Arabidopsis thaliana: one gene and its partner. The protein of the gene in region 2 interacts with the protein of the main gene of each other region in a pairwise test. Each region holds a gene or a part of one and is shown on either strand. Other genes may lie near its edges. The genes, in order: MUB4 and UBC11.

Region 1 (4,861 bases), 7.3 Mb from region 2:
CAATCTAGAGAAGATATGGCTACCTTGTACAGTCCAAACTCGTTGGTGGTTCTGTTTGCAGAGAATGTTATAGTCTCTGTCGTTGTTGACGAAGCTGCTTTGAATCGGCAGACTATCCTCACTTCCACACCTGTGTAAAGAAACGTTAAGAAACAGAGTTTTTGCAGGGAATTAATTAAAGAGATCTTTTTGTTCTGAGTTACTACCGGACATGAAGTAACTGTGTTTAGAGAAACTGTTTTTGGAGCAAACATCGCAGTAAACAAAACCCATTATAGTGATTTCTGCATCTGGTTTTGGTTTGGGTGATGAATGCTTTGAAGATAGAGAGTTTACGAGCAGAAATTGCAGAAGTATAAAAAGAAACATTGTCAGTGATTTCTTCGTCATCTTAAGCACAACAAGTTTCAAGTTTGGTTTATTTGATATTTATGTAAGAATTGGAGAATATGTGTGTGAAGAAAGAAGAAATATAGGGAACTAGTTTTCAGACAAGAATAGAACTCTCTTGAAAGAGCTTCGTGGTTCCTTTCTATATATAGAGAGAGTTATACAAACGTGTCTTTTAAAAATAGGCTTGGATACGAAACGGATATTTTTACTATTCATTTTGTTTTTCATAGTTACAATATTCGAATCGGATTAAAGTAAATACCATATCGAAGAGAAAGTGATGGGAGTACAAAGAAAGGTGCATTTGGAGTGAAGATTATAAATGAGAGCCAGAGGAGAGGAATAGAATTAAAGGCGAAACAAGACAAGATAGTGGAGAGACACTAAGTGAAAGTGAAGGTTATAAATGAGAGAATTAAGTGGGAGACAGTGATAAGTTAGGTGAAAGGACATTTATTGAGATCTCATGCTCTCTGTTTCTTTTGGAGGTTTGTATCTACCTACATCCCCAAAACATTGGCTTTGTGGAAGTGGAAAATGATGAGAAAGGTATGGACCATATAGTAACATATCAAAGTGTTTGCCACTCAAGAACCAAACTGCAAACGTTTAGTACTCGTTTTCACTGTAGGTAATGGACTGGATAAAGATGTTTGGATACAGTTTTGGGCGGATCCTGATAGAGAAAAAAACCAGGTCTAAAATGTACTAAAGATTGACAAAACCATACAAGATATGTTACAGAGATACTTGAATTAGTTCGCGGTAACAAAACTCTTATCTTTATAAAGGATGCTCCAAACAAGAGTTTTTCCATCACAGCTCAAGAGAAACAACTCTAATAGACTAGCTTTATAACGCCATAGATGAAGGTTTCTTTGAACTTGTGAAGAAAATGTCGAATATGAAGCGGTAGTTTATGTTTATATGGTCTTTTAGCAAATACCACAGAGAATCAAAACTTAACTCTTTCAGATTTTTTGACTTGGGACTTGTTGTTGTTCTCACATTATGGTACATGAGCAAAAGCTTCTCTGTGGGGCTTCTTCCTTTTCGATTTTTTTCTCTGTAAGAGAAAGAAAAAACAAGATATTAGGCTAAAGAATTCATTCCACAAACAAGATTTACGGAGATAAGAAAGAACAAGACCTGGTCTTGCTTTTGTTGGAGACAGTTGCACGACAACATGCATTGTAATGACGGATTTAGGGAGATCATCAAATGGAGCTTTACACTGTGCAACAGTTTTACCATTCTCCAAAATCTTACCAGCATTTATCAACTTGATGTCACTAGCTGATTTTGGAACAATCTTCTTGTCTACACACATTCAAAACCCCCAAATTCGATTAGTCAATAAGATACAATAGGAAACAAAATGAGACAAATTCAATTTTTTGTTGAATGCACAAGACTGAAGAGTAAGATCAAGAAATTCTACTAAAAAGAACCAGAACAGTATTCGTCCCTATAGTCTCTAAAGACATGATTTGTAGTATAAGACAAGTGATTAGTAATACAATCAGACCAATTCAAAAGCCTATACCACAAGTGGAGAAACTGTTAAAACATAGATCACAAGATCGAGTAACCTTTTAAAAGATCAATAGTTTAACTTCCTTCTTCTGTTCCTACTTTAAGACAAATGATTAGTAAGTCAATCAGATCCTATGACTTATGTCTGAACTTTGTCTATCAAGCCACAAGTGAAGAAACTGAAGAAAAAAAAAAATGGCTGAAGCAAACGTTCTAAAGCCAAATCTAAAGCATTAAAGAGCACTTCTATCGCATTTTTACTTCTTTTTCACGGATTAGCCGAAAAACAAACCAAAAGATTGTGCTCGGTGCTAACCTTTAGGCCATTCAGAGACAATTCTCTCCTTAAGCATTGACACTGTGGCGGTTGGAGAGTACTGAAACGGGCCAACATCTGAACCGTCATATAACCGGAATTTCAGTTCTACCAAATCTTCCTCCGGCATTTGATTATCTCTTTCTCCCAATACAAAACTCTCACAAGAAAGATTTCACCAGAAAGAATCCACCCAAATGAGACCTATAATAATAAGAGGACAGAGAGATTCTCAAATTCAAAGCATCAATGAAATTGTCGAAGCAAAGAACAAAAATATTTAGAGAAGACTAGTAATAAGAGCACAGTCAAACTTAAAGGAATCAATTAGGAAATTTTCAGTTACTGTCCAAATCAAGAACTTGGACCAAAGGAACAAGAAGAACAATAAGCAAAAGAAAAATAAAAACTTGGAACTCATCTAAGCAACCTAAGCTCCTAAACCGTCAGATAAAGTTACCACAACACACAAATCTTACCCGGACTAGAGACACTCAATCCAAATGTCCAAGTTTGCTAGGTTTTGAGTCTTGGGAATGAAGAGAATCAAGAAAGTAGGAGAGAAACCCTTAAAAGGGTAAATGACCTAATCTCAAAGTGAAGCTGGTAAAATCCAGCTAAGAGATTGCTGCTATGTGATTCTATCAAAGTTTCTGATATGTCTTTCGTCAGGATTGCCGCGTTACAGGGAATCCCTGACGAGTAAGGAAATAAGATAAAAAGACAAGAAAATTGTGGAAAAGTATGTTTCTTTATTAGTCAAAAGCAAAGCCTTGTCGGCGTTTTGACCAGAAGACTTTAAAAGACGAGCAACAAATCACTTTGGTCCAAATCTGACTTCCATGTAAATTTCAAAGAGAGGAACAAGAAAATTTGAAAATCTATAGAATCTTCCAACAATAGTAAAATCTCAGAGCAAAACAAAGGATTTTTATGATATGTTTACAGAGTTGAAACCTTGGATTAGACGCACAATTAGAAAGCATACAAAGCACATTTTAAGAACATAAAATCCTAATTATCAAAAGCCCATTGAAACTATATTTAACAAAAAAAAACCAAAAAAAAAAGTGAACTTTTTGCTATATGAACCCCTACGAACAGATTTACACTACTGGCGAGTGACAGGTGTAATAGGCACAGATGAGTTAATGCCATAGAAACCATCTTGTCCCTGAAACTTCTGGTATGAATTCTCCGATGGAGCAGAGGTTGTTGAAAGTTGAGTGAGCCCAGGTACCCAAGGACCTTGTTCTTGTTGTTGTTGCTGAGTGGTTGCAGTAGAGGTTGCTATGGTGTAGTTGAATGGTGTGTGGTTTACTGGCCCGGGAGGCTGTAACGGCTGCAAAAACTGAGGTTGAAGCTGGAATGGTGGTGGTGGTGGAAGCGGTTGTGGGGGTGTGGAGGATGATGTTGTTGCAGTGTTCTGATGGTGCGGTGAGAGATACGACTGGTCATGATTTTGAAGCTTAGGTCTTTTCTCTGGTGGGAAATCGACGGATGATAGAGTTTCTGTTACAGCAGGTGGGTTGTTGTTTCCGATGATGCCTTCGGAGGCTAAGGAGGAGAGAACATAGGAGAGCATCTCGGCTGAGGAAGTTGAAGCAGTTAGCTTAGCTACCACTGCAGCAGCAGCAGTTTTTCTTGGGTCTTCCAGCGATTGAGTTGGGTTTGAGGCAAACATAACTGGTGCAGATTGTTCCACATCGCTGTGTGTGAAGCTTTGTGGTGCTGCTGCAGTGGATGAAACTTTGATAACTTCTTTTGACTCTTCTTCTTCTGTAGCAGGAGGCTGTGAACTACCACCATGGTCTAGAAGCTGTCTGCAGAGATCACCAGTTCGGTCTGATTGAAACCGAGCAATCTGAAATCGTAGCACAAATGAAATCAATTCAACTAAATAGCATAAAGACAAGGCAACATTCTGTTTGGAAAGGCAACCAAGAACCCTAATTAGATTTGGGTCTATCTTCCTTGAACAAATTCACTAAACAAGCTTGAAGCTAGACCAGCATGTCTCGGAAAGTACTATTGAGAACGTTATGATGTATTGTGTAAATTGAAATGTATAAAATGTCTGAGGAACAAATATCACATTTGTTGGTAAGTATTCAAACCTGAAGGTGGTTACGGACTTGCTCCAGCTTGAGTTCCTGGACACAAAAACAAAAACAAGGTGAGGTTTCTGGCCGGTGCAATGAAAGATGTTGTTTTGAAAGAAAATGTATAAATGTAAACCTGTTCTTGTAAAGCTTCTCTCAAATGTGAGATAAGACTTGTTCTGGATGTCTCCATTGCCCCTAGCTGTTCGATGCAGTCTCTCAATATGACATGTTGTCCCTGCAACTCCTTCACCACCGCTGGCCCAGGGGCGTGTCCTATTTAAAGCAATGCTCAAGAAGTAAGATAGTGAAAACAACTTCAAATGGATGCTTGAACAAGAATTGGATCTTCTCTATCCTACAAGTAAAGAAGTGTAATATATCTACAAGCAGTTAATATAAAGACCAGTCCCAGTAATCAGAAATGTAGTGACAAAAATTAGGGATCCAAAATTAACCAAAATGTGTAGCACTGGTTATTCTCGTTGCGGATTGGGGGTAAGTGCTCTTATCA
Region 2 (4,298 bases):
GAGAGTCTAACAAATCATAGCGTTACCAAAAAAAACTCAGAAACATATAATGTGGATTGATGAAATAAAAGTGTGACATATATCAAACCCTAAAAGTGTTTTTAGTGTGAATCTATCAGTCAAAATCAGCCAAGAAAAGGGAGATTACCTGCGCTACAGTTTGCTGGAGGATGTCTCTGCATATCCCTCAGTTCCCTTGAAATCCTCTTAGAAGCCATGCTTTTAGACTCGAAAACCTGCGGACGAGATAAGCAACACACAATGAGTATTAAGGAATTCAACTAAGAACATAACATATCATAGAGGAAGACGAATAAAACAATACATACGTAACGTAAGTGATGATAAACCCTAAGAAGTAGTTGAAACAGAAAACATAAAGGAAAGATGGATCAAAAGAAACATACCACAACAGGAGATTGAATCTTTTTTTCAAGGCCACTACAAAAGAGAGAAGAGATTCGTGAAAAGCCTAAAACCCTCTACTTCTTTTTTATAGTCGGAGAATACAAGTCAGTCTCGAGGCTTCTGATTCTGTCGGCAAGTACCGCCTGACCTATTAGTAGGGACCCATGGCGGATGATATTGGAAAATTGCAACCAAAGATATGTTTATTTTCTAAAACACCTATTCTTGGTTTGGTCTAAAGATATTCTTGGTTTGGTCTATAGATATGATATTTCCTAAAACAGCTATTGTAAACAATATGGAAAATTTCTTAAGTGTTTTATTAGAACCATGTACACTTTTGAAATATATTAAAAAAATTAAGAAAATCAATAATTTAATCATAAATATACCAACTTTGGTATAAGTTAATAGAAGATTAGGAACGAGTTTTGTATTTGGGAGCAATGTATAATCCTAACTATGGAAGGCTCATAGTTGGTTTGGTTTTGGTTGTGGTTGATCCATGTGTAGATTGGAACCCCTTATGTCAAGAGTGTACCAAAACAGTCCAAACATTGCGTTTGGGGCGATTAGAATTGCAGTTTCCTGCAACCAAGTGAGGAGAGGGAAACAAGAGAATAAAAGTAGACCCAACAATCGAAATTAATACTAGTTTATAGTGATCAGAACAGAAGAGGAGTAAGAGCAGCTAAGTTGTTCGATACTTGCTAACGTTTGATAAACCAAACAAGTGCATTTTTTTTAAGTTATTATTTTATTCCGATGCGCAATAACATATCCTTTGCTTTGTCTTATATCATCAACCCATTGCGTACTTTTGTGTCCAGCTTCTCGCAGTTGACTCGTACTTGGATCTATCTGTCTTGTACATGTGAGCTATCTCCGGCACAAGAGGATCATCTGGGTTTGGGTCAGTCAACAGCGAGCAAATCGACAACAGAACCTAATTTCCACAGCATCAATATCGCTCGCGTTAACACACAAAATTGGCTAAGATAGTAACATAATTTGTGTTAAAATGGTAGGAGTAGAGATACACAAACTCGAACCTTAGAGATAGTAAGAGCAGGGCTCCATTGCTCTTTCAAAATATCAAGGCAAATACTTCCATTGCTATTGATGTTTGGATGGTACACCTTAGTCTTAAAAGACACCTGCAAGATCGATGGATTCACATCATAAGATCAATGATAAAAACCGATGAATCATAAAGAGTCTCATAACACAACACATTACCTTTGGTGGCTTGAAAGGATAATCCGGAGGGAAATGAATAGAAACCAAAAACACTCCTCCGGCATACGGACTTTCAGGAGGTCCCATGATAGTGGCTTGCCAATGGAACATGTCCTCAGCCACCGGACCTAAAACAACGTGACAACAAAATTACATCAATAAAGACATATTAGCAGGAGCTACAAAAGGAGACACTTTGACATAAACTCAAAACCATGCAGAGTTCTGGATACTTGTCAAATACAGGACAGGAAAGGGTAAATATGAAGTGCATAACAGACAACAAAATCCATGAGATCAGCGTTAATCAAAGAGTCTAGCAAACCAAAGCTTTTACCAAAAAAAAAATCAGAAGCATAACATGGATTGAGGAAATAAAGTATGATACTTGATACCCTAACCTACATCAATCTAGTGAGAGAGTAAGGAACCTAATTCAGAGTCATTAGTGCCAGGTAAGTAATTGGTTAAAATCAGATTAGAAAAGGGAGATTACCAGCGCTGCAGTTTGAAGGAGGATCCTTCTGCAGATCCTTGAGCTCCTTCAAGATCCTCTTAGAAGCCATGCGTCAGAGACGAGAAAACCTGTGGAAACCCCCAACAAGACCAGAATATTATTGAACAGAGGATATAACTTAAGACAATCAACTTAAGAACAAAACAGATCACAGTGGAAGAACCAGAGACCGAACAAAACAACACAAAACGTAAGTGATCGGAAACCCTATTATTAAGCGGTGGAAACTAATCGCGCAAAACAAAAACAGAGGACGATTCGGGAGAGAAAGAAATTAGGGTTTAACCAAAGAGAAATGGTGGAATTAGACCTGGAAGAAGGACGGACAACACAAAGCGAGAGCTTCTTTATCGGGAGAGAAGAGAATCGAGAATAAAAATGGAGTGCAAAGGAGAAAACGAAACTTGTTACTTTGCCTTTCTTTATAGTCAGAGAATCTAAAACAAGTCAGTCTCGAAGCTTCTGATTCTATCAGCAAGTACCGCCTCACCTATTTCACCTTTTCTATATATTTATTAATTCTCGTGCCAAAAGTTTTTTTATTTCACCAATTAGGACTCATGCAGTCAAAAAATACAGAGCAATGATTTTATTTTTATTTATTTACTCATGTAGTTTATCTTTTTGAGACGATAAATTTCACATATAATTGTATCACTATTTCAGTTAGATTTTCAAACACCCAAAGACTCTTGTGATTTAATTTAAACGAATCATACAACAACAAATGAAAATTCAAAACTAGTCGCACACTTATAACCAATCTAAGAACTACAACCATTCATGGTGAGGGTTTCAATTACACTACAATTCCAGATATTGATTGGAATAAATTATGCAGTCAGACATAGAGAACTAAAATAAACGGTTTATGAAGAAGAAGAAGAAGGAAAAGCAAAAATAAATAATGATTTGAGAATGAGAGAAAGAGAATTTAAAACCAATCTAAACCGGGCTATCAGAGCTTCTGATCATCTCCGGCGAGGAGGCTCTGTTACCAGAACCAGGACCGGACCCTGAAGGTCGAATCTCCTCCATCATGTTAACCACTTCCTCCATTGAAGGCCTAGAATCTGGATGCTTAGACACACATGCCATTGCTATCTGCAACATCTGCACCATTTCTTCCTCTACGTTGTGTTGCTGCTTGATCAGCTCTACGTCAAACACTTCTCCAGTCCACTCCTCTCTCACCACTGATTGCACCCACTTTGGCAGATCCACCACTTCTTCATGCCCAGTAGTCTTCCCTGCTGCTTTCCCAGTCAGCATTTCTAGCAACAGTACACCAAAGCTGTATACGTCGGACTTCTGGGTATGTTTCCGTGTTTCTATGGCCTCGGGTGCTCTGTAACCTAAGCTTCTTGATGGGATCAAGGTGTGATGGCTCATCAATGGAGCTATACCGAAATCAGAGACACAGACATGAAGTTCTTGGGTTAAGAGGACATTTGGTGATTTGATGTTTCCATGGAGGAGTTTAGCACCAGATGCAGAATGGATGTGAGAAATTCCCCTCGCAGCTTCCAAACAGATCCTTAACCTTGTTTCCCAGTCCAACGCTGCTCTTCCTCCCTCATTGTTTCCTGCATAGAATTCATCTAAAGTGTTACTTTAAAGCCACTTTTTATAACCTTGAGTAACATGTAAAACATCATATTACCATGAAGCAGCATGGAGAAATTGCCCCCTTGGTAGTAATCATACACGAGTAGCTTCTCGTCTTTTGAAAAGTAATAGGCACGGAGAGGAGCTACATTCACGTGTGGACTGATCCTTCCCACGGCTTCCATCTGCTGCTCGAACTCCCGTTTCCCAGCTGCTACTTCTTTCAGTCTCTTCACCACCACCGTGGTTCCTTCCTCTAAGATGGCCTTATACGTTGTGCCATAGCTTCCTTTCCCTAAAACTTCAGCCGAGGCTCTGAGCAAGTCCTCAAGATCAAAGTTATATGAACTTCCTTCAAAGAAGACCAGCTTGTTCTTCTCCGCCTCTTGCACCCCACTCCCAAACTCCTCAGCCTTGTTGTCACTCCTCCCGGGTTTAGCTTTTGGCACTGCGGTGCTATCTTGCCCGCCATCTCTTTTCTTGGCACAGCAAAGGGTTATGATGGCAAGAATGATAAACAACAGAA

The links.
Region 1: the proteins of UBC11 (region 2) and MUB4 interact in a two-hybrid assay, tested with the Arabidopsis thaliana proteins (one study listed by BioGRID).

Annotation. Positions count from the first base shown.
Region 1 is NC_003074.8:9,945,070-9,949,930, forward strand, and holds MUB4 (membrane-anchored ubiquitin-fold protein 4 precursor), read right to left. Parts: upstream 3,016-4,861; 5' UTR 2,725-3,015; intron 2,450-2,724; 5' UTR 2,376-2,449; coding exon 2,246-2,375; intron 1,714-2,245; coding exon 1,543-1,713; intron 1,460-1,542; coding exon 1,398-1,459; 3' UTR 687-1,397; downstream 1-686. Other genes in the region: AT3G26960 (Pollen Ole e 1 allergen and extensin family protein), read right to left, coding at 1-130, 207-390; AT3G26990 (ENTH/VHS family protein), read right to left, coding at 3,357-4,109, 4,363-4,398, 4,484-4,623. UniProt on the Arabidopsis thaliana protein: May serve as docking site to facilitate the association of other proteins to the plasma membrane.
Region 2 is NC_003074.8:2,639,402-2,643,699, reverse strand, and holds UBC11 (ubiquitin-conjugating enzyme 11), read right to left. Parts: upstream 2,689-4,298; 5' UTR 2,475-2,688; exon of another isoform or gene 2,335-2,474; intron 2,233-2,334; 5' UTR 2,214-2,232; coding exon 2,144-2,213; intron 1,776-2,143; coding exon 1,648-1,775; intron 1,566-1,647; coding exon 1,461-1,565; intron 1,355-1,460; coding exon 1,211-1,354; 3' UTR 781-1,210; downstream 1-780. Other genes in the region: UBC12 (ubiquitin-conjugating enzyme 12), read right to left, coding at 149-218; AT3G08680 (Leucine-rich repeat protein kinase family protein), read right to left, coding at 3,110-3,750, 3,828-4,298. UniProt on the Arabidopsis thaliana protein: Accepts the ubiquitin from the E1 complex and catalyzes its covalent attachment to other proteins. Mediates the selective degradation of short-lived and abnormal proteins.